Astyanax mexicanus: one gene and its partner. The protein of the gene in region 1 interacts with the protein of each later gene in a pairwise test. Links are inferred from orthologs where the notes say so. Each region holds a gene or a part of one and is shown in the gene's direction. Other genes may lie near its edges.

What was found.
Region 2: the proteins of myo5b (region 1) and bnip2 interact in binary tests that used the Homo sapiens proteins (3 or more experiments, as listed by UniProt). The two-hybrid records come from large-scale screens. The link is inferred for Astyanax mexicanus from reciprocal best matches to the Homo sapiens genes MYO5B and BNIP2.

The regions. Positions count from the first base shown.
Region 1 is NC_064424.1:6,583,361-6,587,117, reverse strand, and holds the start of myo5b (unconventional myosin-Vb), read left to right. Parts: upstream 1-784; 5' UTR 785-989; coding exon 990-1,019; intron 1,020-3,757. UniProt on the Homo sapiens protein: May be involved in vesicular trafficking via its association with the CART complex. The CART complex is necessary for efficient transferrin receptor recycling but not for EGFR degradation.
Region 2 is NC_064409.1:57,091,331-57,095,087, forward strand, and holds the start of bnip2 (BCL2/adenovirus E1B 19 kDa protein-interacting protein 2), read left to right. Parts: upstream 1-1,113; 5' UTR 1,114-1,826; coding exon 1,827-2,194; intron 2,195-3,757.

The DNA.
Region 1 (3,757 bases):
TGATACAGTTGTAATACTCATTATTAAATGTATATATAATATAATATATAATTTTACTGTAAGCATATTTAAAATATGGGGTTACATACATGAATTAGTTTAGATGATTAAATGTTACTTAAATATATTTAAAATTGTTTCATTTTATTACAGTTAAGCACACTTAGCACAATTTAAGCAAGAGTTTTGTACTATTTTTTATACAATTAACGTATAATAAGTGCAAAAAAAAGCTCTCTTTAAATATATTGATTAATAATACTTTTTTTCTCACTAGGGATGTCCTACATAAAGAAAAGGTAATTCTTGCTGAATCAGTGAATCAGTAGGCCTACAGTATGGCACTGTAGCTTACCATAAGTTGTTTGTAAAGACATTTAAGTCAAGATATCTGTTGCTGTGAGACAGATACGCCCCCACAATACAAACTCATCCTCATGAAGTCATACTGAGACAGTGTGTTCGTCTTGAATGTGTCTGTAATGTGTTCTAATTACCCATGTACAGTAAATACCCTGAATAATGAGCCACTGGATTGCAGATTGCAGAGGTTGGTATAATGAATGGGCAGAGAGCTTCTATCCAATAGCCTTCTTGCTTAAATGATTACGACAGGTGTAACACAGCCTTTGTTTGTGCAGGTTTGTCTATTCCATGACAGGTAAAGCACGTTAAAGAGCTAGCTCAACACCTCATACCTGCTGAAGGAGTGGTTTGGGAGTGGAGCGATTTGCCTGATGACATTTCTGTCTTCTCCCATGTTTTGTTGCTCAGGCTGTTACTCAAGTCCTGGTGTGAGTCTGCAGTAGTTACTTCACTCCCTGTCTGAGGTTCACAACCCTCAGCTTTGTGCTTCATGTTAGACGTCTAGAAATGAGTGGAGAAGAAGGAAATATGGTCAGCAGCTTCTCAGGCCTGTGATTCAGATCACTTGTTTTGTGGATACTGATACAGTTTGTGGGTACAGTTTTCGGTTCAAAGAAGAAAGCATGACGACTGTTTCTGATCTTTATGTGAAGGTAGGTCAGTTTATTCTACTTTGCTTGAGTGCTTAAAATGTGATGCATAATAAGCAAACTCAAAATAACTCTATTAGAGTTTTTGGATTTTAACACTTTAAAAGTGTCTATTTTAGGGTTTTTTATCGTATCGATACGTGGCATCAAATACCAATATTTTTTATTGAAACATAGTCGCTCTTAACTCCCTAACACTCGCTCCCAATTCAACTTACTTAAGTTTCTGCTTCATCACTCCACGTGGTGGCGCTATAATTAATAAATAGGGTTAATAAACCTGCGGTGCAAAATATTATTTGTTAAATTCTGTGAAACTGACACCAATAAAACAATAAATACTGGTATTCATAGAGAATTATCATGTGATATCATCGTTATCATGGGCAACATATTGTGATAATATCATATCGTAAGATTCCCTGTGATTCACAGACCTTATTTATATGGTTTATATTTTAACACTTTTAAAAAAGTCTCATAGAGTTAATTCTGACTCTACGTAAGGAGTTAACACTAAAACTAACAGTGATAAATGATCTTAACACTGGTGTGTAGTGTTACAAATGAACTCTTCTGAAGAGTTAGCTTTTAGGACTAAAAAACTATTTTGGATCATTTGGCTATTAATGATGACAGCTAGCTAAATTAACTTTAGTGTTAATAATAACTGCATCAAACAAGGAACTAAAAAGACAATATATCTGTCCTGCAGTGTTAGTTTAATTCACATTACAAGGAAGTTTAGTCACTTGTTAGCTAACTAGCTGATCTTACTTGTACAAAAGCAAACTCCACCAAGTGTTGGGTTAGCTCTGGAAATATTTTGCTATGTAATTTGAGACCTTTAATCCCTTAAACCCTAGGTTTATAGATTAAGTATAGATTATTTGGCAACTGTTGGGCTAAGCATATCATGTGGAGTCCCACATGGTTCTATTTTGGGGCCAATAAAGTTACTTTAATTGTGAGAGTAGAGTAGTTTTCAGAAGGTGAGGAGGAGTGGAGTGTGGGGTTAAATACTGGGTCTTAGGCAGACCTGAGTATGGTACGGCCCACAAGCCACATCTGATTCCTATAGCTTTCAATAACGGCCCTTCACATATCCACCTTAGAAACTGCACTGAACTTCACTGCGCTTGTTAAAACCCAAAAAAGACTAGATTTCTCTTACTGAACAAGCAAAAAATACTGAAAAACAGTAAATGAGCTAATTACACCATAAACCAAACAGCAATAGTGCTTTGTATGAAGTGAATTTAATGCTGTTCTTAATTGGAAACATAATTGTTTATGAGGATGTGGATTAAATTATGATATGTCTCTACCAGTTTTAGCTTATCAAAACCATATAATTACTCCATTTTAAAGGGGTAATTAACTTTAAGCTGAACTGAGATCAGTCGGTCTGGATCTCCAAAACAGATCCAGTTTATTATGTGGCTCCTTGGGAAAATTAATTGCCCACGCCTTTGTCTAAGGGCTTACGAGGTACTAACACATCTCCTCACAGACCAAAAACATGGTTCATTATGGATCTAAAAGAGTTTTCCCTGAACCAGTGCTGCATTTTTAAGAATAATTAAGAATCTTACTGTTCTAATCTCATTTTATCCCATACTTTTAGTAACTTTAGGTCTGAGGCGTGGTGCTGTAGTAACCATACGTGAATTTGTACTTGTGTCTCAAGTGTGACAGAAGGTCACAGCAGAGACTATAAAGAAGGATTAAGGGATTAAGAGCTGGAAAATAGCCTACACTCAAATTTTATTCATGAACTAAATGTGCATGTCATTATGGTGCCCATGACAAGGAGAGAAAAGAGATTTTGACAAGCTTGTGCTACACCCAGTAACTCACACATGCCCTCTGCTCTCTCAGCACTTAACAGCAGATAACAGAGCAAGTGTGCTTTAATGCCTGAACCCTGCAGAGATATACTGAGATACAGCACCAGTCAAAAGTTTGGAAAAAAGCTCTATAGGAACACAAAAAGTGTTAAACAAACCAGAACATGTTTTATACTTTAGATTCTTCTAGATAGCACATTTATCTTTGAGGACAGAGGACAGATCTCAGTGTCTTCATGAGGGAGACTCTCCTGAAGTAGTTTTCTCCTCTTGAAGGAAGGAGTTTCTGGAGGTGCTGAACAATAGTTGCTGTTTTTCCTTCACACTGTGAAGCTCCAGCTCATACCAATTAAATCACCTCAAATCACCATCTCAGTTCATCAGGTTTAGATTAGGGGATTCATGTGGAGGACTAACACTTTTTTACTGTTTACTATGTAACTCCATATGTGTCCCTTGATTGTTTTAATGTCTTTAATATTAATCTATCTTATCTAGAATTAAATAAAGACAGGTGTGTTCAAAATTTTGACTGGTACTGTTCGTTGTTGAATAAAACAAATATGTACAGACATATAATGCAAAATATGTGCAAAATTTATATACCAGACACATGAACAAAGTGTTTCATTTATGGTACATGCAGAATAAACATTTTTGTAGGGTTTTTTGTTGCAGACTTTTGCACCCATTAGCAAGTCCTGTTTTTATCTACTATGGCCAGTGAATGTAACTTGGTATCAAAATTACAGACTATGTACATATCGAAGCGCAAAGAAAAGGCAGAAGCAAACAGGACTTTAGCAACAAAATCCACTTTTTGTCATGAAAAACTACACACTTAAAATTATATCAGGAATCAGGAATGATGCGTTTCTTTGATTTTTTCAA
Region 2 (3,757 bases), on another chromosome or scaffold:
CAACACTGGCTTATTAGAAGTGTTCCTTCCACCTTAAACAGTAAATATATAAATACCAAATATATGTTGGTTTGTTTATTTTGAAGGCTACACTCACCTGTTAAAATGTGTAAGGAGTGGAGTAGTGATATATACACTGAATTTACACATACAGAAATTAAACTTATTTGAATCCAACCCCTTATGAGGAGTTAACAGTAAAAAATGTTAAAAGATTCCAAAAAGATTCAACCTAAATTTGAATCTTTTTGAAAACTGATTCAAACTAGTTTTCTACAGATTCGAATCTTTTTGAAAACTGATTCAAAGTACTTTTCTACAAATTCGAAACTTTTTGAAAAAAAAAACTGATTCAAATCTTTTTGAAAACTGATTCAAACTGTTTTTCTAAAGATTCGAATCAGTTTTCAAAAATGATTCGAATCTTTAGAAAAGTAGTCTTTTCTAAAGATTTCTAAAGATTTTCTGAAGATTCGAAAGTACTTTTCAACAGATTCTAATCTTTTTGAAAACTGATTCAAACTGTTTTTCTACAGATTCAAATCTTTTTGAAAACTGATTCGGACTACTTTTCTAAAGATTCTAATCTTTTTGAAAATCTGATTCAAACTGTTTTTCTACAGATTCAAATCTTTTTGAAAACTGATTCGGACTACTTTTCTAAAGATTCGAATCATTTTTGAAAACTGATTTAAACTACTTTTCTGAAGATTCGAATCTTTCTAAGAACTGATTAAAACGATTTTAAGAAAATTCGAATCGTCAAAATAACGCAAAATAGTATGTGGGTGCTTTTCCATATTTTTAAATATATGCTAGATTCAAAATTTGTCTAATAATAGTAATAGTAACAGTTATTTGAATCACCTGCATAAAATATTTGAATGGTTTTAAGTGGGTAAAGAAACATATCGCTTTTCAATAATTATTTGAATCCATACCAGATCCCTGCAAATGAGTGTTTTATTACTTAAATATCAATACTTAAATATATTAAGAGTGACTTATTAGCAGCAAGTAACAAATCAAATTTAAAAAGTATCATACTTTCCATGTGCTGTAGGACTTTTGTTTTGAAGTGCGGCAGTGGGGAGTTGGTGAAAACACTGCGCTGTATAGTTGAGTTCGCGTTATACCGGAGAGTCCCTGAAACTGCGGAGCTGCTGCGGTGGACGGTCAGGAAATGATGTTCCTGACAGACTTTTAGAGAGGTTTCAGAGTCAGACAGCGGTTAACTGGGTACCATAACTGTGTAGACGGAGAGCGGGTGTGTGAAATGAGGTGTTGTGGGTCTCGGTGAGCGGGGTTTTGAGTGTGTATCGCTGCTCTGTTGCTGTCAGTCAGCGCCGGGCTGGGCTGTGCTGTGGATCGGCGATAGGAAGGAAGGAAGGAGGGGAAGAAGGGAGCCTGCGCACTGCGGGGCCACGGAGCGGACTGGAAGAGACACTTTTCGGGAAGTTTGTTTGGAGAGTTGTTTAGTTCTTGAACTATGCTATTGTTACACAAATTGGTTGCCAAGTAGTTTGTATTTAGCTAACTAAGTTTACACAGTTAAAGTCGGCTGGCTCGATGTTTGGCAGGAGTAGCGTTAGGTTAGGTGGGTGAAGATTTGATTATTTGTACGGTGCGAGTTGTTTCGCTGACTTTGGCTAGCCAGCTAGTTAGCTAGCGTTAGCTACTCTAGCTCCCCTAGCTGTCTGTGTCTGTTGCTGGGCTTCAGTTGTCACACTGGGCACGCACTGCTTGGTGAAGGAGGTTTTTATTATTGTTGTTCAGTAGGTTAGCTAGTTAGTTAATTGCGTTTTTAACCTGACTGTCCACCCCCTATGGCCACAGATGTGACTGAGGGTGAAGGAGGCTTAAAACAAAGTGGTAACCTTACAGCCGCTGTGATTATGAACAAAAGCAGCTCCGAGTCAGACACACCCAGGACACTGGAAACGCTGGAAAACAAGCCGACAGGTCTCCACTCGTCACCGTCTGAACCGGGAAACGGTGCGAGTAAGGCCGCCGTGGTGTCTGTGGAGAACGGGGACAGAGCAGCCCAAAACAGGCCCACAAAAACAGGAGACCCGCTACAGGAAACTGCAGCTCCGCACGATGGAGGAAACCAGGAGAGGACACGGACCCAGCAGCCCTCGAGTCCTGTTAAACTACCACAGGCACAGAGCTCACCCGTGGAGCACAATGGAAGGTAACTTATAGCGCTATTAGCCTCCGGGGTTGAAGTTTAAAAGCTAACCCGACTACCTTTTCAGAGCTGAGGCGAGCAAGTGTCCCGTCAACTACAGATTCGACTTCAGTTTCTGAATCAGTTTTACTGATTTTGCTATTTATAGGTATATGTTTGAGTAAAATGAACATTGTTGTTTTTTTTTCTATAAACTACAAACAACATTTCTCCCAAATTCCAAAAAATAGCCATTTAGAGCATTTTTTTGCAGTAAAAGAGAAATGTTGATTTCTGAACTGTTAAAACTTTATGAATATGAACATATGCTGCATCTTTTTAATTATTTGTGAAAAGGATGCAGCATATATTCATATTCATAAAGATTTAAGAGTTCAGAAATCAATATTTGGTGGAATAACCCTGGGCTTTTAATCACAGTTTTCATGCATCTTGGCATGTCCTCCTCCACCAGTTTTACACACTGCTTTTGGAACTTTATGCCACTTCTGGTGCAAAAAATCAAGCAGTTCATCTTGATTTGATGACTTGTGATCATCCATCTTCCTCTTGATTATATTCCAGAGTGTTTCAATTTGGTAAAATCAAAAGTGGTCTCTTATTTTTTTTTTTTTCAGAGGTAAACAAGATAAAAAGAAACACATTCAGAGAGCATAACTAGATAGGTTAGATATACAAGGGTTTACAATTTGTACTGTTTGCATAAACATAGATTTAAAAACTCATTTTTTACAAGTAAAACTGTTTACATTTTGTATAATGTAACTTTTGCAAATAGAAACTCTAGATTTCAGAAATCTATATGTTTCTACTTATTGCAAACTGTAATTCCAAATATCAAATACCATGTAAATAGGATATGTGAAGTGAGTAATTAGAATAATTTTATTCTATAATTGTAACCTTATTAGATATTTAATAGCTGATATGTGAAATGAGAATTTTCAAGTGAAAATTACACACAAATCTTTAATTTTAGTTTTTACTTTAAAAATTGAGGTAGAACTGCATTCGCTGGTGTCATTTTAGGTTAAGACAGCTTTCAGTGGAAAATAGGAAGTCAGCTATTCAGTGCAACCCCCACTCCCCACCCCCCTAGCTCTCAAAGGGTAAACAACTTGATCCCAGACAAATGTGCAGACATTGACAAGTACACTGTAAAACTGTCAGTTGCTTTGTTGTCTTCTTGAACATATGAAAATTAATGTGTTTAAAGTCTGATGTCCTTCTCTCTAAAGATAGTGCTGTATGCAGACCATTTACTCAAATCTGCACAGTTAAGCTACATGATGCTGTTTTAATACTGTGTATCAAAAGCCGTAGTGTCTCTAAAAAAAACATGATATCAAACTCCCTTTTTCCAAGGGGTCTTGGACTGTTTAATTTTATTGACTGTGCTTACTCAGCACTCTGGGCTCTTGTCGGTTGCGAAGGTTAGTGTGAATGATTACAAACGTCCCCCTTGAAAAGCAAGAGTAACACTACACAGATGGCATAGCAATTAGCTGTGCACGACAGTCAACTAGTGTTTGTGTGGTCCCCCACACTCACATCTGAGTGACTTCC